Linked DNA regions of Oreochromis niloticus. The main gene of each other region encodes a partner of the protein of the gene in region 3 in a complex. Links are inferred from orthologs where the notes say so. Each region holds a gene or a part of one and is shown on either strand. Other genes may lie near its edges. The genes, in order: cdk2ap1, cdk2ap2 and mta1.

Region 1 (9,929 bases), on a different chromosome or scaffold from region 3:
AAACAGACCAACCACTACCAAAAAAAACAAAGTTTAAAAAAAATTCAAAGAAGAAGTCCTCCCCATCTACACCTGTATACTCCATGCAGTGTCTACAATTAACCTATGAGCCCATTTGCATGCATAAACCAATGCTTTAAATATGAAGTCAAAACTATGATCCCAAAAATGGGGCATAAAAAAAACAAACAAACAAAAAAACAAAAACAAACAAACAAACAAAACAAAAAAAAACACATGATATCTCTCATTTTAGTTCCAATAACCCACACATGATTGAAATTATCCTCCAGAGCTCTCAGGAGTCACAAATTGCATTACTGTATTTCTTTTTTTTTCTCTCCCTCAAGGAGCTTGCTGTTCCATCCTTTGTTCATTTACTTCCTCCTTGCAAAGGAAACGCCATGCAAGTTATTTTTTCTCCTCATGAAAGGTAGTTCTTGCAGGGAGGAATGGGCGTTTTTAGCTAGGACCTTGCATTCCTCTCAGTCTCAGCCAAGCATTCACGCACCAGCCCCCTGGCATGGATTATTCCTTTGAAGAAGAACAAATACAAATTTAGTCTGAGAAATGTTAATGCTTGCCTGCTGCTTTTGTATTGCTCTGCATATAAAGGTTACCTCTTTTCAGTCGCTCCATTGCACTCTTACTTCCAGCGTATGTGGGTCTGATCTCCTTTCCGAGCTCTTCGATGATGGCCAGCAGCTCTGCATATTTGTTCTGAGGCACTTGGCTGCCAGTAGAGCCCTGAAGTTAAAGCAAAAATCAGTCAGGTTCAATACATTTAAACTGGTTTCTGGTATGCAAAATGGAGCCTCACAGTACAGTTTAATACTTGTGCTTTAACTTCTGACCAAAAATTAGGACCTGTGGAGTCTGGGGTGGAGAGTAGTGTCTAAAATTGACCTTCATGTCCCAACACTACATCAGACACAGAGAGGTATTTCATGTCACTATAAGAGTCCATATAAGCAGCCCTGCTTAAAATCCCCAAGAAATCACCACTTCTTGATTCAGTTGTGCTGCTGCTGTGTAAAAGACCACCACTGGATGGAAACAGGTAAAAACACTGCTTTTCATCATATGGGTGGTTTGACAGACTGTAAATGCAATTTTAATATAAAAATATGACTTATGTTGAAACCTGGACTGTAAAGTTGATATGAATATGAAGTAATTAGGCCAATGTTCTCCAGTTTTGCACAAATAAAACTCAACAAACAACACTCTTGTATCTTCCATGGCAATGAAGGAAATGGAAAAACTGGAAAAGTATGTTTGTTTTGTTTTGCCTTTACGAGCTGGGGTATACAGTGAGATTAGTAGTTACCTGTGAAAATCCCAGAGAAGGAGGTCCGTAGTCACTCAGAAGGGGCCTGTAGGACTGCAGTGTGGCCAGGCTAGCTGCTGAGGGAGACTGAAGGTTTGCAACTGTGGACAATTCAAAAACAACTCCTGTCAAAATCAAAATAGACACACAAATCAAATATATTCAAAAAAATAGAAAACTTTCACAGCTGAGAAACCTCAGCCAACTGCTCAACTTTTAAAGCACTTTAGAGAACCTGTAAGGTTAAAAGGCACTACAAATAGAAACTGTTTGCCATTAAAGAGATTTTTTGTTTATGGAAATTGTATTATCAGAGCAGTAAAGCCGTTTTTTTTCTTATAGTCAGCAGTTTCACAAAGGAAGCATGTTAGGCTCTTCAGTGTTTGTGTTGTGGGAAACAGCAGGGAGGTGATGCTGATGGTGCAGGGCTTGACAGTGCGTATGTTTCACATTACAGTTAAAGAAAAGATGCATACACTGTAAAATGTTTTTAGGAACATGTGTGGGAATGAAATATGCTACAGCATTCACCACAAGCAGCATTTATTCTTCTCACAGGTGTAGTATCTCCTCTCTAACACACACACACACAGAAAACATTAAAAGTACAACGCCGCAAGAAAGTGAGCCCAGGCGGGGGTGAAGTGATTTTCTAGTTTCAACAGCAGCAGTGCTTGTTACTGTCATCACACTCAAAACCTTTTATCAAACCACCCATTCAGTGACCTCAGACATGAAGAAAAGAGATGAGTATGCCAGTGAACTTTGCTTTTCATTGCAGTCATTTCTCTTTCTAGCAGTAATTTCTAATTCCTTTATACTTTTCTTCCAAGAAGACAGACTTTATCATTTTTGAAAGTCATCTTGAACAATACTTCTCTTTGAAGGTTGTTTAAAGTTCAGTCCAGTCGTTGTACCTTATCACCTTCAAAGGAATGTTCTTTTTCTTTGTGAAGCCACCTAACACTGATCTATGAATCACTCAAGCAGCGAAAAAAGGCACAAAACTTAAATTATCAAGGAGTTTTGTTACTACATGACAGAGAACTTAGCAAAGAACCAATTTAAATTCTGTCTTGAGGCACTTTTTTACCAGCAGCCTGCTGCAGAAGTAAACATCTTTGATGACTATGAAAAATGCCAACAATAACACAGTTTGTCAGGTATAATAGAGTATATTTACACCAATATGGAGAACTTAGAGGACAAAAGTGGAGCAAAGGCCTAAAGAGCTATCTTTAGGCCTGGGTTATCTTATCTGAATGTCATGTGTTTAAGAAAAAGGAAAAAAAAAAAAAATCTGTCACAGGAGAGATGCATCTGGCCCTTCAGGTGATCCACCTACTATTCACCAAAGCCTCATCAGAAACAGGCTCAGCTGAAGCGTAGCTGTCAAGAAGCTGTTCTTAAGGAAGGGAAACTGGGGGGAAAAGCTCAAGTATGCCAAGTTACACAAGAACTGGGCTGAAAATCACCAGCAACAGGGAGTTCAAATTTTTAGTTTGTGTACCGAGAAGGTCAGGAGAGCGCTACAGCCATCTATAAAACAGGATGAAAGCTCTGTCATGGTTTGGGGCTGCATTTTAGCCAGTGATGTTGGGGCTCTTGTCAAAATTAATGGACTGTGAACGGAGAAAAGTACCGTCAGATTTTGATCCACTATGCAAACGTTTCATTTTTCACCATGATAATGTTCCCAAACACACTGCCACTGGAGTAGAGCATACCTGGATACAAAAACATTTACTGGAACACAGTCAGTCTGACCCCCCCTTACTCTGAAGCAGTGTTCCTATGTTCCTAGCTCCTATGAGAGTTAAGGCTGTGTTGAAGAACAAAGCTTCGACTTTCGAGATTGTTGGAATTATATAAACTCTCTTTTTGCATTATATACTGTATTCCCGTGTATGTTTGCACATGATTCAATAAATCTCTACATCCATTTCCCATTTTCCTAGCAAAATATAAAGAAATGATAGGTGGTTTAAGACTACAGTACAGTAGATTAATATAAACCTACTAAAAACTTAGTCAGTACTATTAAAGATAAAGCTAATCAGCAGCTTATGAAGCTATAAAAACTACTTAAAAATTGTTATGCTGGACATAGGTGATATCATCTTTGGTATGCCATAGTCTTATGAAAATGGAGATGAAATTTAAGTTTAAACAAAGGATTGACCTTTAGATATATCTGTCATTGTCTGGACCCATTACCTCTGGACTAAAGTAAAGCAAGTAGAAGTAAAATGGGTAAAATGTTGCAAAAGCACTGAAACATCAATATTAACAATCTCATAAGAGAATGTCAGTCAGGGAAAAAAAATCATTTTTTGCACTTTATTCATGTGCTAAAAATAGAAATTATTTCCCTTGTTACTAATAGAATTTTTGAATTACAATTTTACCAAATACCTACAATCTGTACACCACCGTTAGCTTGACTTGGAACGACAATTCCTATTGTTTTTTTCCCTTCTTCTTCTTTCTTTTAATTCTTAACTCTTCCCACTACTTCCATACATTTCTCTATATAACAGATACCTTTACTTTGAGCAGATTGATTTTTTGTATTTTTTATGTTTTGGCTGGTAACATAAAGAAACTGGGGATCTGAACACTTCCATCCACGCACATGCACCTCCATAATCACCGCTCCCCTGTCGCTTTGTTCGCCTGTAATATTCAACCTCCAACACGAGATGTCCTCGAAGAGACATAAAAAAAATTCGAGGCAGATCAATCGGCAGCTCCGACCGAGGAGCATCATGGAGGAAACGGAACAAGGCTGGCTCAAGAAGACATAAGTGATACATTTTTGTCACCGTGTAACGGCACCCACCCGGCGGGACCGCGACCCCGGACGACGGATATCGACACTGTAGGAACCGCCGCCGACTCCTTTCACATCCCCACCGTGTTTCTTCGCCGACTTGTATCGCGGATGGCGCTCTTTTACATTAGTAATAATGGCGGATATGAATTAGCCTAGCTCCCAGGATCTGACCCTATATATATAACTGGACAAAAACTACAGACACGGTCTTTCTCCAGGTATTCTCCGAGACCCCGAATTTAACACTCGATTTAACAGACGGATACTTTGATTTTCTCCGCCGTTTTTTCCTTACCCTGGTTCCCAGAAGTTCCCGGAATGTGCTGATGGACATTGGGTTTGTAAGACATTCCCAAAGACATTGTAAATTAAAGAAATAAAAATGACCCGAAATTCAGTGAAGCGTCTGTCTCTCACTTTTTGTTTACAACAGCGGCACCGGCAAATATGGCCGTCACTTTATATTGACACCCACTGTGCTTTTTAACATTGCTACTATCCACTGCGGATTATCAAGAAAACGGTTAAAAGAAGCACATTTCACCACAAAGCGACCAAATTCGCGCACGCTTTAACACGCATTTTAAGCACATTTGCCAACCTTTATCCCTGAGTTTACTTTAACGACACTTTTAAAAGACTTTTTTAACAAAAAGTGTTTAAACGTGATATGTGTTTAGATGTTTTAAACTTAAATTTTTTACACAACATTATGAAGGAGAAACCAGACTTTTAAAGTAGAATAGGCAACCAGACGTGGATACATGTATTTGAGGTTAAACTTTATACTCACCCAAATTTTTTAATAGATTTTTTTTTTTTTTTTTTTTTGGTTAAGATAAAGTATGAAAGAACACCAGCGTACCTGTCTTTGTCTGAGGGGTCGTATCCATTACTACTGATAGCCGTCTGCTTTTACCTAAAAAGAAAAGTAACTGGAGTTGGAAGCAGGCGCTCTTATTTCGGAGACTTTATCTTCAGTTTTTCAAAAATGTGCTCAGGAGTCATTTCAGTTCTTCATGTCCCATCAGTACTTTTGGCCACATGGTTGGCCACACAAAGGCAAAAGTGTGGTCCAATCGTGGCTCTCAGGGTCATGACCCGGACCCCTGCCCGCTCTGTGCCCCCCCCCCCAAAAGAAGGCGCACGTAACAGGGTGAAAAATGCACTGTTTAGTGTTAAATCATTTCAAAATAAATGTTTCTAATTTTGGTAATTGCAATCTTGGCGCAATGCAAGCAGTGGGAGCTCATTATCAATATCAATAAATTATCAATAAAACAACCATATAAAGCTTGAGGTTTAGAAGACAGCAGTTTTTATAGATTTTTTTTATTATTATTATTTTAGAAAACTTAAATAGTCTGACATTTTAAGGAGCTGGAGAATCGCTCCATAAAAAAATCTTAACGGCCTTTCTGGGAGTATTTCACCATGCTTTTGTTTAATGCACTTTGTATTAACTTATGTGTATGGGAATTATATGTAATGGCATTATATACTTAGTTGCCAGTTTATTAGCAACACCTAAAGTAATAGAGCTATAAATGCTCATATACACCTCACACTTTTAATATGCATGCATAATGCTTTTTTTTCTGCACTTATGAACTACACAGAGCTGTACTTTGAGCATCAAAATAAATGAATAAATAAAGTGAGTAAGCACCTCGCAGCATTCTCACATGCAGTATTTTTACTTTTTATAGGAGTACTTTTAAGAGTGGCATTACTGCCTTTAATAATAAAATACAAAGTGCCTGCATTAAAAACAAAAAACAAACATACCACACTTGTCATCTCAAATTGTTAGTTGCTGTTGTTATTTGATAAACGATTAACTGATGTTTCTGGAAGAATTCAAGTCCAATCATCTGTAACTGTAGTCTATAGAATTCTCCAGATATGCAATGTAATGAAGTAGCTTTTTAGTATTATAACACACAACAATGTAGAAGTATACCAAGCTTTATTGAGCATTGCACTCAGTCATATACAGGTAATTTTGAACTTTTGTACAACTCTTGTCAGTAGTGCAACTCGTGCGATAATGAAAGGAAAAAAAAAATTAAGTCCTTCAAGTGTTTCAACTTCAGATGAGCCAAATCTGCCATGACATTTTGACAGCATTTAAAAAAAAAACAAAAAAAAACTAACAGACAAAAAAAAAAAGTTTCCAAGTCAGCCACCAGCCCAAAAGATAAAATAACATGAGTTGTTGGTCTGTACATGGTGCACATTCAAGTTAAAATGAGACTTCCAATTAGAGAGCAAGCTCTAATGAATAAGTTCTCCCTCCACCATAAAAAAAAAATAAAATAAAATAAAAAAAGGATGCATGAACAATTTCAGTTTGACTCATTTTACAAACTGTACAAATGATACAAAGATTTGTTCTTGTTCCACCTAACAGTAACCACTCCACAGGTTTAGGATTCAAACACATCCTCCGTTTAATTATCACCACTGGGACAGCTCACGTATCCAGACTTTGGTCTGACCCTTCCAGGGCAGGTCGAGCATCACGCAACATATGACTGAGGTGGTACAGGCTCAACAGAAAAAGTGGACTGTACAACAAACAGACCTTAATTACAAGTAAGCTCAAGAAAGCAGAGAAACTGGAGAACCATGTTTGGATGTTTGACACATACGAGCTGTAAATACAGCTAAACACACACAGAGCAACTGTACTGAGCAAAGATGTCCAAGGACCACTGAGTTCTAATCATGCATTTGCGATACACTGTAAAACTCTTGTGTTTTGGGTCTTCATATGAGTTTAACCCCTGAGCAGATTTATATTTACAAAAAAAAAAAATAAATCAAAAATCAAAGTAACAAAAGAAAAAAAAAAAAAAAAACACTGAGAAGGACACAGTGATGCAGACTGCTGTGAAACCTTGAACATACGCACACACGAAAAAGGCTGTTGTCAACAACATGCATTTCACAATTTTTCAGGAACCCTTTATCTTTTTTAAAAACTAACCATTTTTTTGCCATTTTCTCTGTTTTAATAGCAGCCAGCTAAAGACCACGTCAAGAAATAAAACTGCTGTAATGGATTGGAAAGGAGTACAATATTAAATAGTTTTCCCCGACCCCAAACTGTGACCTAAATTTTTCTATTGCCAAAAATTTTTTAAGCATCAAGTAAACATTCAACAACTGATTCACAGCACTGTAATGTAGCTTTAATTATTTAGCACTTTTGTCTACAATATTTCTTCTTGTGAGCATTCAAATGCTGCCACGTCTGAACAAATGATGACACTGAAACAATCATTACAGTTGCCTAATTTATGTGCTTTGTTTCATTTCAGTGCAGTGTGAGTCTATACTGCACTATGCAGTAATTTATGGTCTCTGCATTTTTCTCACCACCTGCCCCTTAAAGCCTCTGATAGTAAAGGGAAACACTGTATAGTAATGTTAAATGCCCTCACATGAGGAGATAAACTCTTAACACCATATGTTTGTAGCTACAATAAAGGCCATAAACCATTTATTAAATGTTTCAATACTTTAATAAAGACTAAATTGTATTTATTATACCCAGTTCGCTTAATATTCATCATCTCTAACATTTTAACACCCCATATATATATGGATAGAAGTCAGAGGATAGCTGATGCAAAAATAACCAAATCATTTCTTTGTAAAGGTGCCCAACTGCTGTAGCTCCAAGTACTCACGCAAAGGCACGTTCACAAACAACTGGCTGATCAAGTTCCAACATGGACAAAAAGGAACAAAATGTTCAAGTTAGACATTAAAACAAACCAAGGAACTTTGAGGAATCTGAGACCTGTGTGAAAAACAGATGAGCAAAAACAGAAATTGGCCTGATTTTAGAAGGAAGTGGAACCTGACAATAAGAATATTTGGTCTTCACCGTCTCATGAGCAAATATGCCAGATACAGTGCCCCCCCAAAAGCAAAAGGTTTCCTGCAGTAAACTGCATCACTTTTTCTACTTCAGAAAAAAACAAAAATTCTTACGCTGCAGTAGTGCTGGGTAATATCTAATATAATGAGTCTCTAGCATACATTAATATGTGATTGTAGTTAAGCACTATATGCCCATCTGAGACTTTCCTCTGACTATGAAAAAAACGTAGATTTTGCTTCATCTACTTTTGGTCCAGACCCACAAAAAGTCTCTGTTTCATACTGAGGTGGTTCTGGGGTAAAACAGGGTAAAGTATCAGTGAGGAGTGGATAACTCAGATCAACATGCTCTCTTAAAGTCACAAATCTTCTCACTCTGAATGTCAGAGGAAAATACATCACCTGTCAAATATCTCCAGGTGAAAGGAAGAGTCTCTGGAGATTACAATTTTTTTTTTTGGGGGGGGGGGGAGTAAGAAAAAGAACATTTCTCTATACAACCACTGCTTTACATCCGAGTGTCACCACAGCTTGGTACCACACCTCTGACCCTCAGGAACAGTGAGGGTTGTGCACAAGGTCCTGGAGCCTGCAGTGTAGAGAGATCCCTTCAGGGAGGGATGTGAACTTAAGGGGTAGAGATGGGGATTAAAGCCCCTAAACTATGTGTGGTGTGTGTGGCTCAGACTCTGAGGGTGAAGCTGCTGCCGCTTCTGCTGCTCCTGCACAGCCAGCTGCTGACACTGGTCCGATGTTGAGAGCTTGTTAATTAACGGAGACACACAGTTCGCCGGAATGATCAGTCCTGCATTAAAAACAACACAGAAATTTTAAAAAAGGTCTGAGAATAAGCTGGGTGTCTACACATCTGAGAGGACCGCAATTAAAAAGGAACTCTTAAGTGTTAGAATACCATGTCACATGTCTGTCTGTTAAATAATAAGGCACAAAACATAAAACCAGGAGTTTCGCTGCGATGCCAACTCTACCAAAAAATGAGACTAGTTTCCAAAATATGAACTTCTTTAGTACAGCAGTCACTTAACTTACCGACTATCCTCTGCCCATCTTCGGTTCTCAGCCGGACAATCTGCACCTTTACATTGGTTCCACTGACCGGGGTGAGCACTTCTTCCAGCTCATTCCAAACACTGAGCACTGATCCACACAAAACGTAGTACCTCCTGCACCGAAGACCAACTTCACACTGCAGACCCACTGACGCCTTCTTGCAGTTACCGCGCCTGACAACAGAAAAACACAAATAGGTTTACAAAAAGAGGACCACAGAGCAATGGAAGCATCAAAGGTTGAAGCTGCTGATGTCCTCTCATTACGTTGTCTTCATGACAAAAGAAGAAAAGTGTTGTTCTAAATACTGGTACCATTTTCACTGCCAAATTAATCTGCATTTGGTGCTCTGAGAAGTAGCATCAACAAATGTGGGATTAGAATACAGTAAGCAAAGTAAGCACCATGCAAATCTGAAGTGCACATACCAATATGCGTGTGAGCAGATTTTTTCTGAAGACTTGTACTGGTCAGTCCAGTGCTGCTTGGCATCTTCTGACAAGACCTAATACAGGGAGAGCAAAACACATATGATTCACCACATAAAATATTCTGTCTTCTTCTTGTCATAATGTAAATGAAAGAGTGCCATCTAACCTTTTTAAATTTCTTCTTGAGGTCTGTGTACGTCTCCAGTTTGACCTGCCGGCCGGTGTTGGGCCTGTACACCAAGAACAGCCTCTTCTTAGTGTTCACCTCTTTGACAAGGATGGCCGTTTTTTTGTTGTTCCTCATCTGAAAATAAACCACAGACATGTACGTCATATGTCACTGCTCTGCATTCACACACACATGTAC
Region 2 (9,697 bases), on a different chromosome or scaffold from region 3:
TTTGATATCCCCAGCTTGACCTAAAAATGTGCTGAAATTCCCCACATTTTTAAAATAGATAGAAAATTTTCTGTTTGCTTGCGTACGCCCAACGAGTTGCAGAAAGTTTGTCTTTACCAAAATGGGCGTGGTGAAATGCTGTGAATGGATACAAAGGGACATAATGCACCTCTAAAAAGCCAGTGAAAAGAGGAAGGATTTAATTTATATATATATATATAAAAAAAAAAAAGGTTATAAAACATCCAATGGGGATCACGATGTGGGCAGGTGTCGCAGGAAAAAGAGTGCCAGTGCCAGGTGGAGGGATTTGTCCAAAAGGTTATGTGCGGGCGCTTCTCTCCGTCTCTGCAAGACACTCCCTGACCAGTGCACGGGCATGGATTATACCTGTATGACACAAACACAAGGCAAGTTTTGTTTTGTTTTTTTATAAAGGAAAAAAAAAAAAAAAAAAAAAGACTACCTCAAATACAACAACCCCAACAGTCATTACTGCCAAATCAGAGGTCTCTCATTAACCAAGAAAACTGAGTTGATTAAGCTCATAAAAGTAGGTCAAAAATGACCTGCTAATGTTGTTTTCTTACCTACCCAATTAATGAAATGTTGTCGTCATTTCATATTCCAGCTATTTCTCAAAAACACTTTTTGGCTACCATGCCATTTAAATTTTTAACTTTCCTTTTGTACATTTAATAAAATTCTAGTTTTTGTGTTTTTACCCCAAACTTCCTGCATTTGTTTCCTATGGAATTTCCCTTGATTCTTACAAAGTGTGACTGTCAGGAATATATTTTTTGTTGACCACAAAGAGTGCTACCACTTAGGAAGATTATTTTACACAGCAAGAACTAACACACAGTGTTCAGACAACAATCTATCCCCAGTGACTGTGTCACTGTAGACGAACGCTTGTGCCATTCAGGGGAAGGTTCAGATTTCTACGATACAATCCAAACAAGCCCGTCGAGTATGGCCTAAAGATCTCCTTGGTTTGTGATGCACAAATCTGGACACAACAAAATGGTGGATGAAAATACCAGAGAAGGGAAAAAAAGCACAACTGATCCTGTTCTACAATAACACCAAAGGAGGTATAAATACTGTGGATACACAAGACTTCTGGAATGACGCCTTCTGGACACACAAGAGATATTCTGGGTAATGCACAGCACCGCACAAATCAAACACAGCATATCAGCACAAACATCTGTCTCGAACTATCAAACAGAGTGGTGGAGGTACAGAACAAATCCCTGCAAACTTCAACGAACTGAAGCAGCTTTGTAAAGAAAAGTGGGATCATTACTCCAAAGATATGAAACTCAGTCATACAGAAAATGAGAACTTATTTTTAGTTATTGCTGCTAAATGTACACAAGCTACCAAATCATAGAGTCTACTTATATTTTCACAGGACTGCACAGTCATGTGACAAACCTTGTCTTTTAAATGCATGTATGCAACTCAGTTTCACTAAATTCTTCACTGTGCCCCACACTTTGAGAAATGTGTCTTAATGGATAACTGACTGTGATTAGTTATTCCAGCTTTCATGGGGGGCTTTACCTGGCAACTTTCTTATAAATGTGGATATTGGGCTTTAAGTCTTCAGCTGGAGTCGGAGACAATTTTTTTATATAAAAGGATAATAACAGAGCACTGTTACTGCAGCAAGTAAATAACCATTTTCAGAATAAGCTGTGTGAAATCCACATGCACCAAAGAGCTAAGAAAAGTGAAAAGTTCACCAGTCTTCCTCTGATTTGCATAATAGATGCATTAAAAAAAAACTTTCCCCCCCCCAAAAAAACGCAACAACAACAACAACAATGATCTGAATCCTACTGATATGCACTTTTGACTACTAAAACATACCTCTCTTTAGCCTCTCCATAGCGCTCTTGCTCCCTGCGTATGTGGGCCTGATCTCACGGCTCATCTCCTCAATGACAGACAGGAGCTCACTGTAGGTGGACCCTTGGGACACTTTCACAGGCTGTTTGGGAAAGTAGTAAAAAACGTTAGTCATTTCACAGTTCCACATACACGCCAGACATGAATGAAAAATGTAGATTTTTTTTCTTTTTAAGAATGAGATGAAAAATATGTCAGTTTGTTTTTTACAGCAGATGTAACGATGATGAAGTAATTATAACACTGCAATGATGTAGTATTGTAGTGTTTAAGTATTCACTGCCTCATCTAACAATAATGTAAATGTCCCCATGTCCTCTCAGAACTCTTTTGAAATCAAGTTCCTTTCAGTGGTTTCAATTTATGCTAATGAAACATGCTTCAGTCAAACAGTAACCACCTTCCACTGCCAACAATATTTACTGTACTTAATCAATATAGCACTAATAACTAGTGCAGAAAGGCACATTTTTTTCTACGACCTTATAGTGACTTTACTGATAGACATTTCTATAGTATCTTCTTGTATGTTGTTGTAACGCTTTAACTTAACTTACTTAAACTTAACTGTTTAACTCCTAATGCTTCTCTTTTTGCTGGATGTATGGGAACAAAAACAAACTTCTGTGCAGCTTCAAATAAAGGAAAATGACCTTTTATCACACCTTTTAGAAATAATTCAGCAATAGCAAAGAGGTGAATTTAATCAACCCCAGGCTGGGACATGAGTGTGAAAAGTATGTGAATACACAAGTTTTTTTTTTAGTTTATTTACTCAGTTAAGGGCTAGTATTGACATAAGCAGAGTGGTTGAAAATCCATGTTTGGTGACCTATGCTTCAGTAAAAATATGACAACTCTTTACTAAAGCAGTCTGTATTCAAGTATCAGAGCAATTAAATTGTTGTTGTACCTGAACAAAGCCCATGGAGGGCGGGCCAAAGTCACTGAAGGCTGGCCTGAAGTTGGACGACGATGGAAGAGATGGAGAGGGCACAGAAGACCCTGGCCAGAGGAAGAGAAGAGAAGAGAGAGAACACATTAAAGGCTGAACCTAAAACACAAGCAATTTTGTTTCAAATGTAAAATATTAAAAAATAGTTTACCAATACAATTGTGCTGTATTGTTAATGACTGATAAAATATTGTGTGGGGCAGCACTGGTTTATGAAGGCAATGGGACTGTTGACCATAGTCACAGTGTGAACTGTTTCATACATACACACCACAAGAAACTGACAACATGCTAATAACGGCACTGCACAACATTAAAGCTGGTCCTAAAGTACCTGGTGGAGTGTGGTTGGAGCCAGATGGTGCAGGAGCAATGGGTTTGTAACTCATGGCGATTTCAGCAGGCAGCTCCCCGTACGACGTGCCGCTTCCTTCGGTCCCGTCAACCCGATACTTATACAGCTTTACAGGTGATGATGAGCTCCTAAGAGCTAATGCATAAAGATAGACAGAAACACAAATGCAATTCAATCCATGAATAGAAGGAAGCAAAGGAAGTTGTGAATCACAATAATCAGGAATCACCATCAACAACAGTCGGTGAGGAAATCAGCACAATAGACCTTTATTTAACAGCAGTAGCAAGACTTGTCGGCCTGGATGTGTTTGGGAGCAACGCAAACATTTTTAATGTAAAACTGGAGCACGTTTGCCTTAGGTCACACATTACACAACAAAATGTATGACCTGTCAGTGGAAACGTTTCTCATTCAGGTTGCTTTTGCAGCAGAGAGATGAGAAAACCGACAGGAAACCAAGGTCCTCACTGCGGACATTTTATATTCTGTGCTTGCACTGTATGGGAAAGTACATTAAATCTTCCTATTCAGTCAGAAAACAACAAGTGCCATTAAAAACATACCCATGCTCGTGATAACCACATGGGCCCTCTCAGGTCATCTAAGAGTCCGCTGGACTCTAATTTAACAATTTGCAGCAAAAACATCGTAATTACAATACAAGTTCCCTAATCTGTCAATGGTACTCTGACTGGAGAGAACCATAGCTTAATATCAGACTACACTGAATGTGTCAACCTGTGAAATGTACTTGTTTTGTGTTTTACGCCGACTCTAATGAAGCTTTTCATAGGCTGGGTGTGTGTGAATGTGGTCACTCAAAGTCGCACGAGCGGAGCTCAGAGGTGCTCAATGAAACAAAAGCTGACGTTAGCATTTACATAAAGCTGCCAAGCTAACTACTACTTGGTTAGCCGGATTAGCTAGCTTTTGCCGGTTACCACAAAAACATAAGTAAACCCCAACCAAACAGGCCTGCCGTTTACATTCTAATACAGACAGTGAATATTAATAGCGTTAAACTAAACTTGTGACCACCGATGACACCCGAAACGATACAAAAAAGTGGCAATTTTGTACCTTTTTAAGGAGACGTGAAATCCTCTGTGGGACGCGAGCTCCGACTCTTCCTCAGTGACTGAGTCTGCGCAGACGAGGTAGTGGGCTGTTGGTTTTTTTAATCTTTACAGCGATTTGATTGGTCGGTTTACATGTGACATATGTCCTAAATGTTTTCATCACCAGAAACTACTACCGCGCCAAACCCGCGTCATACGTAGCGAAAATGAAAATACGAACGCTGAAACAAATGGAAGATATAGTTATATATAAATACATTACGATATTTAGGAGAGAAATTCTTTCCCATTTACATAATAATTAAAAAGTCTGGAAGAACTTTTAGACTTTGAAACATTGCTGAATAGTTAATATGAAATGGGAACATTTTACTCCTTGATGTACCTTCGTTTTTCTATTTTCACTCCCATATTTTATATTTGAATATATAATTGCTTAACTTGATTGAATGCTTTACTCATGATACAATTTTGTTCCCATTGATAGATTAATACATAGCTAATGTTTTTCTTACAATTACAAAATACAATTCATGCCAGGGCATCATATTTCAGATAGATAGATAATCAAGGCTGAGAAGGTCTGGACATGTGCAGAGCAGGAATAAAGGATATACTGGACAAAGGATGTTGAAGGAGAAAAAGGGAACGATCAGAGGGTTGATGTGACAGAGAAGAATGCAAGGGACAGGGTGAGATGGAGCCAGTTGAGCCGCAGCAGTGACCCCTTAAGGGGAGCAGCCAAAGAAGAAGAATAGGATCACAAAAGATGTCATTTTTGAAGTGCTTCAGCATGTTTTCCTGTAGTAAAGTACCAACATTCGAGTTTAAATAAACTGAGCTGAGCTTATGATAACTGTATGATGTTAAGTTTTGATGTTGATGATGTTAAGTCCTAATATGCTGTAATAGTTCTCAGATAAACTCAGTGGAATAAAAAAAAAGATACAAATATTCCCTCTGAAATATGGGAGTTGGAGCATGAAGTCAGAATACTAAGGTAAACTACAAGGACCTTAAAAGAGGTATAATAATTCATCAGGTTATTTATTTAATTTACATTACCTGAGGTGGTGGAACTATTTGAGTTTAGCATACAGATTTGGCCTCATCTGCTACAAAAGAGTGAACAGACAACTATGATTTTGTGGAGATGCACTGTCATCATGCCCCTGCTGTAACATTTTGACCCTCTGAAGTACTGGAACCAAACACTGCAGCACAGTGCTCTTGCTCTTGACGAAGGCGGTCGCACTTTTCTCCTCTCCTCCTCCTCCTCTCCCTTAGCTTCCCTGCTTAGCCTCTTGTGTCCTTGTCTAGTCTCGTGTTTTTTGTATTACTTTTCCCTAGAACACTCTCTCATAGTCTGTTCTCTAAAACCTAAAAGAGAATTATGGATTTGATCAACTGGTCTCTGAATGCAATTGACACCCCTTTCTCAACGAGAAGTTTGGGCTTGGGTGAGCCTGAGTGCTGAAGATAGCTACCTATTCGGAACCATCTCGGCAGATATCTACCTATTCGGAACCATGGTAACAGGGTTCTGGCTGATTGGAGCTGGCTTGTCCCTGACTTACCGGAGAACTAAGGAAGCGGAACCGGCTGTTCAAACAGCAAGGCCGCCCGCTGGGATTGAAACGATGGGAAGAGGCGTGAGTTTCTCAAAATGGGCTCATTGAGTGCAGCATGGATAAGATCTTAGAAAGGCTTACGGCTGCCGTGAATACTCAGAATAAGATCTCTGAGTGCAGACTGGATTACATCTCGGAAGGGCTCGCTCGGCACAACATCTCTGAGCGTAAATTGGATGACATCTCGGGGAGGCACACTGTCGTGAGTTCTCAGAATCGGCTCTTTGGGCACAAGAATGACAACATCACAGAGCGCAAGTATGGCGAAGCTCGCGGCTCTCCAACGGGAGATTGAGAGACCAGTGTTGGACTGTAGAACTGCTTGGAAATTCATATGAGCTGTTCGCACTAAAGTAAAAAGCACCATCACTCATACAGATACCCCTTCGGCGCCAGCTGCGGTTGCAAGGCTGGAGCTGAACAACAACACCCTGATAACGACTGTGTTTTGACTGTTCTTCCCTTTCTATGCAAGGCCACCTGGGTTGGCTGGAAGACTGTTTACTTAGCCTGGCAGGGCGAAGGACACTGTCTCAGCTGAACTCTGGACATACACACACACACACACAGACATATATACACATGCAGACATACACTCATCCCCCCTCCAAACGCCTTCGACGCTTATTCCCTTCCGATGCTGACGGTGGATCAAGGAGACCAGCGCATAGGCTGCAGGCCCGGATGTACTGTCTACACTGGCTGTCTCTCACCCTTTACCCACCCCTGTTGCTTGTCATGTGTTTCTTTGGTGTATTAAGAGTTTTTTTCATGTGCTATGTGCAGAGGTGTTTTTTTTCTGTTCTCAAACTGATCTCCCTGTTGGAGCTCAGTCTGGGGGGAGTTATTTTTTTCTCCTTATCTTTCCTCATGTGGTGCATTTTCCATTGTTATACCTCTCTGACCTGTCTTCCCCATGTGATGTTTGTGTAATGTATGTATGGTCGGAGGGTAAGATGGTGCCGCCATTGCGTGCAATAGGTCGGCAGGCTTATGAAATTTCCCCTTGTGGGACTAATAAAGGCATATCATATCATATCATATCACAAAAAAACCCATTTGCACTTCTGTATCATTACATTTTGGCACAGGTGGGAGATGTAATTATGGATGGAAAAGAGATCACTTTAACCTGCTCCAAATAACTCACCTATCATCTTAATTGCTGTTTTGACAATGCACTTATTTGCAGTGTGAAAATGATTTTTGCTAATTTGCAGCAAGGCTTTACTGTCTGCATGTAATGACAGACATTACTTTAGTATCCTTACAAAAATTTGCACACTGTGTAAATTGTAAAAAGAAAACACAAAATAATTATTTGCTAATTAGTAACATTTTGAATGTATCCGAAAACACAAAGTACCAAGACAACATTGCAAATGTTGAAACCTTGTATTTTCTTGCTTTTTGAAAAAGATTTTTTAATTTAATGGCACCAACACCTTTCCAGAAGGCTGGGAGCATTGTGTTGCATTGCGCTGCATCTCATCTTTTTTTTAACAACGCTGTAACCCTTTCAGAACTGAAAGGATCAATTACTGTTATTTTGAAAAGAAAGAGAATTGTTTTTCCATTCTTGCTTGATACGCAGTACTGTTCAGCTTCTGAGCAGCGCCTCTGTGACATATTTTTCAAATCATAGGTGTTTTGCTGAAACACGCAACACCAATAAAAAAATGCTGTCTAGATTGCAGTATATCTGGGTGCAAACTCTTAAGGCTACATATACAGGAATATGAAAAAGAAAGTGTCTAAAATACTTTATCCAGTCCTGTTAAAAACTAAGTACACATTTACTTCTTTCCATAGGAAGTAAGTGCATAAGTAGCAGCTAGGTGCCGATAATCAAATTCACTTGATTAATTGATCATCAACAAGTATGACCAGCTCTGTCAAAGCAGAAGTTTGGGCAGTTTGATGACAACAATGTCAGTCATATTTATCATATTTATTTGTTCCCATTGGTCACTTTGGATTGATGCCTGTGACAGAAGTCTCTTCCTGTCTAATGAGGGTTCTTCCTCCTTAATATCGCCGCCTTTCTACTGCTTAGAGGGGATCATCTAATCCTAGGGCGGGCAATACATTTTCCCAAGTGGCCACATGTGAACGTCGAACTGTTGTGAAGGGCTGCACCAATAAGCTGAAGTTAATTCAGCTCGCTATTAAATTTATCTCTTTGTAAGCTTATCGGAGTTGCCCTCCACAACAGTCCCAGGAAATATTGATTGGCCACCAATGATCTGTAGAGTTCTGTCTTATACGGTGGGTCTTTAACTTGCTATTTCATGCATTTTAATGAGACTTCCTCTGTGAAGTGGAACTGTGGAAATAAAAACTAAATTTTAATTTAAATCTTTGTTAAACTAATTGTGTTAGATTTATAGGCCTCATCAGGACTCACGATTTCTGTGTTTAATAATTATTTATTTAATATATTATTTAAGATGGTCCTTTCTTGGCTATCAGCAAAGACAGTTACTATGAAAAAACATTCTCACTGTTGTGTTGTCTCTCATGTACATTTCAATTGTAATATGACGTTTATAATTCTTTTTCTTTATGACGCATCTGTTTTTTTTCATGCTTTCTAAGGTTATAGATCACATATTTGCTTTAGACACCAAGGTCTGAGTAACCCTCATCACTCAGGCCACTCACATACAGACTCTATTCAGATCAAGGCTTTTCTTTGCACTACCTCCAAGCACTTTGGTCTCCATTGTGTGCCTTTCTATTGTTTTGTATATATTCCTCCAGACTGTATTCGTCTCTTCTGATTGCTATTTATTCCTGATGTCTTTAGTATTAATATATACCGTATATATATATTTTTTTACTCCTGCGCAGTTGGCACGGAGCACCCATAACGTCATTGTTGATGTACAATGACAATAAAGGGCTATTCTATCGTATCCTATTCTATTCTATTCTATTCTATTCTATTCTATTCTATTCTATTCTATTCTATTTCATTTCATTCTTGTTTTTCCCAATAGTAGTTCAGATCAAAGTTTTTCAAGTTTTGCTATCTAGTATATTGCCAGGAGACATTTCATCAAACTTTTCTTACATTAATTAAAAATCGGTATTTGTCCAGCCCTTAGGCACAGGTCTATTTCTATTAAAAATAGTATGTCTCAGAACTATAGTATTTCAAATTTCAGTGTTCCTGGTGTACCTTCACAACAAGCACCAGCTTGTACTATAACAAAAATGAATTATTTCTTAAAAGTTATTATTAAATAAAAATAGCAGAATAAGGTAACAGAAAGCCAGACGGTAAGTACAGAATGAAGGAAGGGTCAGTCCATCTCAAATCAATGTGGGCCTCATACCCGACTATCACCAATTTACCTAAAACATTTTATGGTTCAAAGTTTGGACTTGATTGCTATGAATTTCACTTTCATAGATCCTTACTATCGTTTCTAAACTTCTTAATTTTTCAAGTTTTATTTATTTATTTTTTAATGGTCCACTGAGCCACTTCCAGCTTGTTTTTCACACTTTGAAACCTACATAGACAAAGAGACATAGAAGAACGTAAACCAGACTAAAACCTAACTAAGACAACCTAATAATTATACCAGAATTTAACATTATCACATTAACTTAAGAATAATACACAACTTTAACATTATTTTAACATAAGAAATCTATAATACAACATAAACTCAAAATGCTGGGGCACAGACCCAGACCCTGACGTTATCTCAAGAGGGGAACCGGTGTTGAGCACACGTAACAG
Region 3 (10,828 bases):
CCCTAAAAGACAGCTCTACCAACACTGTGATTATGTGACAGAAAAACCAACAACGCAGTAACCAACCGATCTTTGTTTCTATTTAGTCTGCAATATGCTGGCCCCAATAAAGCTGCACCACGGCATATCCAAATATTTCAACTTAATGAAAGGATGCAATTTATTTCAAATTCAAAAAGTGCTCCAGCTTCAAACTCATCTCTAGAGAATACAATGTCTACACGTAGTACAGCATACTTTAGTCATATTTCTTTTCTTTTTTTTCCTCAAGGGCTGGGCTAGAGCTAGAAAGGGAGCTGGAGAGGCAGCAGAGGAAGAGCATGAACATCTGCCCACGTAAGTCCAAGCAAACACACCCCCTCCACAGCTCACACCCCATCCGATGCTTACTCATGCAGTCACACGGAGAGGTGTGTCTGTTGTCAGAAGCGGCAACCGCAGACGAGATTACAGACTGCCATAGTATGGATGAAGATTTCTATGGTAATAGAAGCTAATTTAATATCCTAAAGTCAAACTCGCACCTCATTTTCACACTTTGATATCACTCACAATCACTTAAGGTATGATCAGCTGTATGCACAGATGCATACACCTCTGTACAGTCTATACAATCTACCTGGCCTGCTAGTATCTGCTAGGATTCCTGGCAAAAGCAGGAAATAGACAAAAATATGTCTTTCATATCCCGTCCCGCTCACTTTTCTGACATATTATAATACACCGAGGAATAAAAAATGTTTAAAAAGCAGTTTCGCATAAAGTCAGCAGTGGTGTTAAGGCTGAGATGGATTTGATCTTATAATAATTAGATCACAACTCCCATGACACCTTGCAATCATACTGCAGCAGGCACTGCAGCTTGCACTTAACAAACGCGATAAATCAGCAAATTTTTCCACTCTTTTCTCAAACATTCATTCTAGTGAAGTTTAGACAACCAGACCTTTAAGCCCATAGGCAACACTAGGAAGCTAGCAAACAGCGGTTATTGTGATGGGCATTCGGGCAGTTTGACCCCCCTCAGAAACACAATGATGGGGATACTTTGCTGAATGGATGTAAAAAGGTTGTCATGCATCTGTCCAACTAGTTGTCCTGAACTTGGCAGGATTGAAGCAAAGAAGCCTCAGCTCGCCACTCAGCGAGTACACCCACCAGACCCTGCAAGAGACACAACTGCCAGCGTGGGAGATTAACACCAGCCATGAGCCAAACAAAGTGTGGGCACTGTCAAAGTTTGTAATTTAGTCAGTTTGTAGATTAGTAAACAGTGCAACACCTTCAGGCACATTCTGAATAATTACTGTAGAAAATCCTCACCATCCAAAGGAAATGTGGGCATTAACACCCAAGTTTCTCACTTTTTAAGTTAGTAAACAATGCAACACATTTTGCAAACTCTGTGCAAGAGCTGTCACAATCCAAACATTCCAATGCAAGTTCTTATTTAAAGGATGGATCCTGTATTTTCCAATTATTTCTTTAAATAACACCCCTACCCATATGACAACCGAAGAAGTGTTTGCATCCTGTAATCATTCCTCGTGATCATAACATCCTCGGATATGGCCTCATACTGCAGTTCCGATGCAGGTGATGGGGGAATAAAACCCACAATCCTCATTCTAGGTAGAAATATATTTTGACCAGAGCAACACAGTTTGAGAAAATACAAACAGGGCATCTTTTACTATATTTTGGAACATCTCTATCACAGTAGGTCCACATTCAGAAGCCTGTTGTAGAAATTCATTTTAAAGGAAACAAACAGGGGATCACCTGGCCAAAAACTGAACCTGGCTTAACACCAACCAGCAACTTCCTGTAATATTAACTACAAAATCAAAGCTCCACAGTTTTAAAAGCCTGTCCTCTTTTTCAATGGTAGGTCTGAGTACCCACTAGCAAAAATTGTAGTAAACTTTCTATACGTCTTGACAACCAAATTTAGAACATCTCAGGAAAGAATTGTTTTCACTTGGGGAAAACAAGTCGTCAGCAAGTCTTAGAGGCTTTTTAAAATTTCACTGCATTCATAAAAACGTCTTCCAACCGCTGAAATGGTTAAAAGTTATCGTATAGCCTACACTTAGTCACCAACACTTTCCTGCACATGAGGGAAAGCACTAGGAAGAAGTGCTGCAGGCACCGGAAGAGTGGCTTGTGGCCTGGATGGTGAAAACAAAGACATCAAGACCTTTTGTCTTTTGTCCACTGCTCATTCAAGGGGACTCATTGCTTTTCCAAGATGATCCTGCATTGTCTTGCAAAGAAGCAGCCATCTTTGTGTGGGCTTCTGCTTTGTTCTGGTGTTGGCCTGGAGAAGCTTCAGTCAATTATGAGGCCTATTTTTAGGCCAAACTAGAACTGTGATTTTATTTTTTTAAACTAGAACTGTGATTGTAGGACAAATTAAGACTATGCTTATTAAATTATGTTTTGTAGTTTTAAATTAAATTATGAAGGTTGAGCTTACTTGTTACTTTTTCACTTTTCCAAAAAAGTAATCAACTTTGCTTTGATGACTGAGCATTAAATGTTTAATCCATTCTGATTGATTAGATCTCACAAATTAGTCAAACTACACAACCTTAAAGCTGCAAGGTAGATATGAAATAAATAAAACAACCTTTTTTACTGCAAATTAGTGTGCTACAAACAAGACATACATGCTTAACTGGTTGGTATGTCAGTGTAAGAGACTGACAGCGTAAACAGAAATACAAAACTAAGTAACATCTGGCTGGTAAAGTGTTAACTTTTTACCCTGCTCCAACATAATCCAGCTCTCACTCAGGTAGGCTTTGTTTCATTTGACTAAATAACAATGCCATTAACTTAAGCATAGGCTATTTTTGATGCATGCTCCAAGCCAACTGCAATCACATCAGTCATATTTCAAAAGACATCAGTTCTTAATAATCTTAAAAATATAATCAGTTTGCTTTCCCTCCCTTTTCTACTGACAAATGGCCACAGAGTCCAAAAAGACACTAAAAGTGGATGAATAAAGAAAGAATAAAGAAACTGTCCTGCAAATGCTTACGACTGCCATCTGCATTACAGCCCTCATATCAAACCTCTGTGTGGTGACACTTTTTGACAGCTAAATTTGAAGTTTTTTGAAGACACATCTAAAAAGGTCTCCATTCTTTTATGCATCTCCACTGCAAACCCCCTCAAAAAACAGCACATTCTATTTAAAATACAGTGCAGCTATAGTGGTTTTCGTGTTTTCATTTTCACACAGTACCTACGGGATGTAAATCAGGGGAACATATGCAGGGAAAAAATGAGTGGGAGGGGAAATCAGGAATTTTAATTAGGTATTAAGTTGAATTGCCTGCACAAAAGAAGCGAAGAGACACTGGTTATAAATGTGTAAAACGGATCTCTACGCATGCTTTGAGAATTTTAGTGGTTCCTGCATGTAAAGTGTTGTCTTTAACTTTTTGTCCCACTCCTTCCCTGCATTTTAAGAGCATGCACTCCTTGCTGCTGTCTTGTGAGCATTGAGAGGTTTCTGCAGGACACTTAAAGCACTTACGATGTTACTTATGGCTGTGAGCGTACAGTCCGGGCTGTAGCTGAATGGCACGCAAAACTTTTAGAATATATCCGCTACTTTACATCAAAATATATAGAAGCGCAATGCATGTTACTCAGAGTGCATCGTTGCACTAAAGTACTTGTTTGCTAAGTTGGAAGAAAAACGCAAAAAGAAGCGAGGAAATCCGGGGAGCAGTTTTGTAAAGAGAACCACTACTCTTCATCACCATCCTCCTCTTCACAGTCACCATCATCATCATCTGTGAAGCACAAGGCTCTTTAGCTTTAGGGAAATAAAAGAAGGGAAGCAAAAGACGGACCACGCGCTGTAAATACATAAAAGAACCGACGTTAATCATGGCGAGTCCGCCATAAAAAATTACGGGAAGGTCTTAAAATACTGCCCCCTCCACCTTACCTCCAACCCGGTACATGTTCGCTGCCATGACTGCCCCCGGTCCCTGGCTTCCTCTCCAGGTAGAGGGGTGGCTCTCTTCTCTCTCGCGCTGCCGGAGCTGTGTTAGCACTGCCGCCGCTCTGTGTTGGAAAATGGTGGATTGATCAATACGAAAGAGACTGGCTGGCTGCCTTAAAGAGACAGTACGCCTTTTTTCTTTTAACCCACAACTTTGGCGCTGGTAAATGGGAATAAGCACTGTAACAAATTAACGATTTAATTAAACAACTTTCTTTAACTTAATATAAAATTTAAAAAATAAATAAATAAATATTTGCCTTTTTAAACTGTACCTACGTCACTATTAGCAACCAAGCACGCGCTGTCCGAAAGGAACCGTTATCCTATTAACTTTGCTACTCGGTTAACCTTACATAAGTAGTTCATTTATCTTTTACTTGCCAATTTAGATTATAAACGAAAGGGTAAATTTCTTGAAAATAGACCTGTCTTTATTGTTAAGACATGAAACTTGGATACTAGCTTAAAGTTTTTATTTATTTATGATAATTATACAGCTCTCCAATCAACTAATCGACACGTATCGCGATAATTTACGGTGGAAAGCAAGTCTTTAAGTAAGAGCTCGATGTAAAAAAAACTTCCAGGGCCTACCAGGCCTACTTCGGACTGTATAAACTCCCACATTGGATGACTCATGAAATGTGGACAGGTTCCAGAGCTGGTTTTAAAATAAGCCATTTACCTGGAACTGTATAGCTGTGTAAAAATGCATCAGCCCTAAAAATAAACCAGTGCTGTGATCCTAAATCCCTCAATGCTCACAGTGTCAGTGAGGGTCAGAGGTCAGTGGACCAGCAGGGGAGGGATACATGGGCTTAAATGTAAAAATAACAAAGTATGTTAAATTTAATTCATGTACATTAGAAAGACACAGGGTCAGACACATTTGTCCTTAAATACCTAATTTTATTAACAAAAGAAAGGAAGACATATGCAAATTCTTCCAATCTGATAAGGTGTATTAAAGTTAGGATCGTATACTACAATGGTGGTTTATTTATAAGATAGCATAGCTCATTTTTGTCTCACTGTATAGGACTACATTATAACCACAGCACGCAGTGAAGGCAGAAACATGCAATGAATTATGGTATGATAATATGAGATATATTCTGGATTCTGGAAATACTATGGAGATTTAGGATTATTAAGCTTATTACAATGACATGGTTAGTCCACAGTACAACTCTATGTGCATGTGGGTAAGAGAACAAGATAATAATCTGCCATTAAAATAGGATGTTGGTTCTGCAACATGGACTAGCAGCAGTGTTTCTGTTCTTATCAGTAGTGTGTGTGTGAGTGTGTTTATATTATTCTTTCAATCTTACCACAAACAAACCATATAGTACCATATCACCTTGGACATGGCACAATAAATTGCCAATCAAACCACAGAATGCTTAAAAAAACTCACATGAGCATAGCTTTTTTTTTACATGGCAACCAGTCTTTAATGGAAAGGTATCTACAAGGCGTGATCCTGAATGACCAGATATTTGTTTGATTGGCTCACTTTTTTGTGGATAGCATAAGGCCTCTGTGACAGAGGAATGCGTGGTGAAGGCTACGTCTGATCTATACCATATGGAAGCGTCAAATACTGTGACCTAACACAGGGGACCACAGTCTGCAGTCACATGACTGTTATAGGCCAATCATGTGTGCTTATAGTATGCACTCCTACTCAAGTGTGCAGTAGGAACTGTGCTGCATTGGAGGGATTCTGTATTATGTCCCGGGGCTCTTTTATGAAAAGGAACGAGAGACAAGGAGTGTGCACTTTGTGTGTTTTTTGTGCATGTGTGTGTTTATGTATGGGTGTGTACAAGGATTTACGTCTACACTATGTCATTCAAATTTAATTACATTGAATTTGCGATGTTTTTCAATGCCAGTGCATGGTACACTGCACAGTATTTTGATTTGTAGTATAGTTGCATGCTCACTGATGAAAGACCATCACTATACTGTACATTTATTTTTAAGTATGCACTGCTGTGTGCAACAAACAGTGCATTTCTGCATAAATGCTTATTTTTGTGCATATTATATTGCTATCTTGTGGAATATTTCAAGTGTAAAGCATAATCCAGCATATCCCTGTACATTATGTGTTATTTGTTAAGCATATGGAGACACACGTGAGAAGTCTTTTGAGCTGTTGTAATTTTCCCCAATAGGCTCAAAAGAAAACATTGCCAGTGCTTAATATGCTCTTAATTAAAGGAAAATAGGTGGTTGACAATGCACCCTTGTATTTGGGAACTGTTACCACTTTCATTAGGGCTGTTTGTTTACTTGGCTGCTTGATGCTGTGCAGATGTTCTTTTTTTTAATACACTTGCTCCTCTGCCAGATGTTGCTGCATTCGGGAAGACAAGCATGCAGGCAGAGCTCTGTACAGAGCAGTGCAGTGCAGGTGTTCATCCTGATGAATCTCAGTCTGTGGAGATGGATTGGCTCGGGACGCAGAGCGTCTGCAGAACCTCCTTTCGCTTTGGAAGAAGACCTCTGATGGCCTCTCTTTCTCTCTTCCTACTTCTCTTCCTCCCTCATCCTCTTTCTTTCCTCTGCTCCTCCATGCAGCAGATGAATCACGGGAGAGTCAAAGACACAGAGGAAATCAATTAGACCTCTATCCTTGCAGAAACTATTTGAAATATTTTTAATTCTCTTTCTGGAACCTATACTTGGATCAAGAGACACTATGGGTGGTGCAGGAATAAAGGGAATAATGTTAGGGCTCTCGCTCTTCCACACCTGACTTTGTATGGGTGTATTCCTTATTAAAAGTGAATTACCTATACTTTGGAACAGTCTGTAACTCTGCTCTCTAGAGGATGCTTGAATATATTCCCTTCTCAGAAGGTTAGTGCCAGTGACCTTCTGCTGTGAGTCATGCTATAGCTATAAGACACATGTATAAGTATATAAAGCAGGATAAATATTACCGATAATAATGCAGTGAGCTACTGTACAATATCATAGATGCCTAGATTCTTGTATGGAGACTGCTCTGTACATCCATCTAAAACACATTCACCACCACTGCTGTTGATATTAAAGACAATATTCATTTTTTTTAATTTTTTAGTCTATGAAGCCATGTTCTCAGTCCTCTGAGAGCTGTGGGAGGAGACAGCACTGACTTATTGCGAGTAAAAGAAAACACTTAAAATAGGAGTTTGTATTTATTTTCAGTCACCATTAGGGGGAGCTATTGTCTAGCTTTTTATAAAAATGACCACTTAAGACAAAGGCTTGCCTGCCTTAAAACCATGCACACTCAGACATAATGTTATCCATTATCTTTAGCTCATACTAAACATAAAATTGAGCTCTGAAACCATTCATTAACAATGCCTGATCTTTCCAATACTCACTGAAAAAAAAATGCTCCAAGTTGCACTAAACATAGTCTGCCAGCAGGGGACATCATGCGCACAGCTATTTCTATTGTCCCCATTTGCTCCCTGAAAAGCAGTCATGCTGTGGGAAGAAAAAAGAACCGCGATGTGGCCATCGCTAACGGCGAAAACGACACTTAAGTGAGTTGTGATTTTTGAGTTGATGCCAGCTATTTGCATCTAAAGCTGCAACACAGAGCTGTAGATCAGAAGTATAATATTATCAAATGTTGCCATTAAATCAATATTAGCTATTGTGCCTTTTCTGAGTGTGGGTGTTTCTATCGGAAGACATAACTCAGTCTGTCATCTGTCACACAGCTTTGAATGAAACACTCAGCCTCCCAAGAATGCTTTGCCCTAATCCAGAGGGATTAAGAATATTGCAGTTGTGGGTTATTGATACTGACCCTTACGAATAGGGTGTTACTGTGAGACTGTCTCACACATGGAAATATGTGGCACTCCAAAAGTTATCCCCTTGCATATTCTGAACCCCACCTTGCAAGACAATCCCGTCACTGAGTGTACACCCTTAACCACAGGACCATTTGCCAAAATGCCAGAAGCTGCCAGACAAGTGCAACTGCTTTTTCCTTTTTTTCTGTGAGAAACAGCTGGTTGAACTGCTAAAAATGTCTCAATCTTCAGAGAGGCTCTGGCATTTGGTGACTGTGCCATGTGGGGAAAAACCCACAACAGTTAGACAGAAGAAGAAAAATGAGTGACTGGAATGGCAAGCACTTGCTCAGCAACTTGAGATGCATATATATATATGTATATATATCACATAAATCATCAAACAAATGACAGGAAAAACCACGGGCACATAATAATAAAGCCATGGTCAGTGCCAGAGTAGACGGACATAATGGGCAGTGATACTACCTTAGCATCCTACATGACAAATTCAAGATTAAACAACCTGTCTAAAATGACATCATGAACCAATATGCATTTATAATAACCATAAATGTCCAGTATGTTCATAGCGAATATATTTTGCAAGTTTCAAGTGAGATTGCACTTTCATGCATTAAAGACAGCCTTATAAACTAATGATAGCCGTTTTTAGTTGGAAAGAGTTTGTGCAGACATGTTACAGTATGTTACTATTAACTGAAAAATTAACATGATTGTTATTACAGTGTAATGTGAGTGTTTTAACATTTTTATTACCAAATCATAGGTCTTATTTTTAAATCGTGTTGGAATTCAGCTGAGGGGTGATAGTAGCTTTTTGGATGAGCCTGAGCCAGAGGGGCCTGTCCAGGATGCTGACGCTGGCCATGGACAAACCTAGGTGCCTAAAGTGATAATACACTTAGCAGGTCAAGGCAGTCATATTGAAGAAACAGCTTTGCTGCTGGGTAAAATACTTGTTAACTATTTATTCATGTGTCTGGGATGTTTCATTGTAACATTCAATTTACCTCACATAAAATATTAGTATATAAACAGTACTAATTGGCTAAGTTATGGTTAGCAGTTTGCAGATAATATATGTGGCTTTATAATGTCTAGGATGATTGATGTGAAAATCCATTAAACACAAGATATATGAATTATGTACATTGACTGCACCTTGTGAGACAAATATCTAAGCATGTCTCTTAAGGCTCCATGGAATACCTAAAATCAGGGTGGGACCTGGTACATCATGTTTTGTTTTCCATTGCAGCACCACCCATGTCGAGAGGGTCTAATTATACACCACAAAAGTACACAGCAAGGTCTCTTTACATCGAGTGGAACAAAACTTTTTTTTGACTGGATGTGACCAGTTAGTTTGACTTGGCAAGAGAACTCCATCTGAAATGTCTGTGCTCATGTGGAGGAAACAGGCAGGCTTTGTTAAATACTGAGGTAAAGAACATTTTCAAGTGCTGAAGTTCTTGTTGTAAATATGGGCTGGGGAGGGTTAAGCAGGCAAGATCTTGTCACAGTGACTCTTTGGTAGGCCTGTTTTGTTTGTGAGCAAACTGGGAGATGAAAGAAAGGAAGGGATAGATGGCTGCTCTGGGAGATTTCACCCATTTCAAAGATTTCTGCCTTTTGTGTGTTCACAACAACACGAAAGAGCTTATCATGGAAAAACAATAACCCAATGATTGTTTTCGTGACCAAGAAACTAAATATTAGTCTTTAAAAACATGCCCAAATAGTTGTTTGAGAACAGGAAGTGCATGCAGTGAACTTTCTGCACAGAGAAGAACAAGAAAATAAACTTTATGCATCTTTATGTAAAGCTAGAGTCAACAGATGATTAGCTTAGCAGACCATGTTAACCTATAGACTTGAACTAAGTGAAAACAGCAAGCATGGCTCAGATCAAAGCGATAATAATGTCTACCACACTGTATTTGACTGTGCAAAATGTGCCTGTGTGTTTTGTTTTTTGTTCATTTTTTGTGTTTTTATATTTTCCCCTGCTTCCTGGCTTTATGCTAATCTCAGCTAATTATCTGCTGGCAGTAGCTGTATATTTAGTGTACAAACATCAGGCTCAATTGATTTTCTCATTCAAAAGTCTGCAAGAAAGCACAAAAACACGTTCTCACCATGTCAAACTATTGCTGTGGTGTTTCTATCAATAAGTGCAGATTACATGATTGAAACAGGTGTCCAACTGTCAGTTTGTGCCTGTAACGAATGACTCCTCTGCTGACTGAAGCTTAATGAATGAAGCTCACACAGCACAGTTACCACTGTAATGCCACTAATCAGAGGGTTATTGATCACTATACTGTTACACTTTAACAACACAGCAGATCATCTTACTCCATCTCAACCTGTCCCTAGCATCCTCTTCTGACACACCAACACTTTGCATATTCTCAGTGACTACATTCATGAATCTTCTCTGTGGTTCTCCTGTTTTCTTCCTGCCTGACAGCTCCTTATTTAGCATCTTTTATCTGGTTTATATCCACTATCTCTCCTCTCAAATGTCCAAACCATCTCAGCCTTGCCTCTCTAACATTGTCTCCAAAGCACTCCTGAGAGGTCCCTCTTGTTTTCCTTCTTATTTCTGATTTTATCTATTCAATTACACCCCATGAAAATCTTAACATCCTCAGCTCTGCCACCTCCAGCTCGGCCTCCTGTCTTTTTGTCAGTGCCACCTTCTCCAAGTCATAGCAGATCTCACTACCATCTCGCAAACCTTCCCTTTCGCTCTTATTGATATCCTTCTGTCACAAATAACCCCTGACATCCGTCTCCACCCATTCTGCCAGCCCGCACTCTCTTCTTCACCTCTCTCGTCTACTGTTCTTTGCTTTGAAAGGTTGACTGCAGGTATTTAAACCCATCTGTCTTCACTATCTCTGCTTCTTGCATGTTTACCTTTCCACTGGCCTCCCTCTCATTCATATACATGTAT

What was found.
Region 1: mta1 (region 3) and cdk2ap1 share a complex: the UniProt entries of both Homo sapiens proteins name them as parts of the nucleosome remodeling and deacetylase (NuRD) repressor complex. The link is inferred for Oreochromis niloticus from reciprocal best matches to the Homo sapiens genes MTA1 and CDK2AP1.
Region 2: mta1 (region 3) and cdk2ap2 share a complex: the UniProt entries of both Homo sapiens proteins name them as parts of the nucleosome remodeling and deacetylase (NuRD) repressor complex. The link is inferred for Oreochromis niloticus from reciprocal best matches to the Homo sapiens genes MTA1 and CDK2AP2.

What each region holds. Positions count from the first base shown.
Region 1 is NC_031972.2:11,488,649-11,498,577, reverse strand, and holds the start of cdk2ap1 (cyclin-dependent kinase 2-associated protein 1), read right to left. Parts: upstream 4,657-9,929; 5' UTR 4,529-4,656; coding exon 4,462-4,528; intron 1,456-4,461; coding exon 1,331-1,455; intron 748-1,330; coding exon 621-747; intron 535-620; coding exon 467-534; 3' UTR 1-466. Other genes in the region: sbno1 (protein strawberry notch homolog 1), read right to left, coding at 8,723-8,865, 9,111-9,304, 9,560-9,636, 9,729-9,866. UniProt on the Homo sapiens protein: Inhibitor of cyclin-dependent kinase CDK2. Also acts as a component of the histone deacetylase NuRD complex which participates in the remodeling of chromatin.
Region 2 is NC_031971.2:21,307,850-21,317,546, forward strand, and holds the start of cdk2ap2 (cyclin-dependent kinase 2-associated protein 2), read right to left. Parts: upstream 4,462-9,697; 5' UTR 4,314-4,461; intron 3,366-4,313; 5' UTR 3,265-3,365; coding exon 3,210-3,264; intron 2,926-3,209; coding exon 2,834-2,925; intron 2,003-2,833; coding exon 1,882-2,002; intron 391-1,881; coding exon 323-390; 3' UTR 1-322. UniProt on the Homo sapiens protein: Acts as a component of the histone deacetylase NuRD complex which participates in the remodeling of chromatin.
Region 3 is NC_031983.2:19,121,302-19,132,129, forward strand, and holds the start of mta1 (metastasis-associated protein MTA1), read right to left. Parts: upstream 4,735-10,828; 5' UTR 4,716-4,734; intron 4,090-4,715; 5' UTR 3,999-4,089; coding exon 3,971-3,998; intron 1-3,970. UniProt on the Homo sapiens protein: Transcriptional coregulator which can act as both a transcriptional corepressor and coactivator. Acts as a component of the histone deacetylase NuRD complex which participates in the remodeling of chromatin.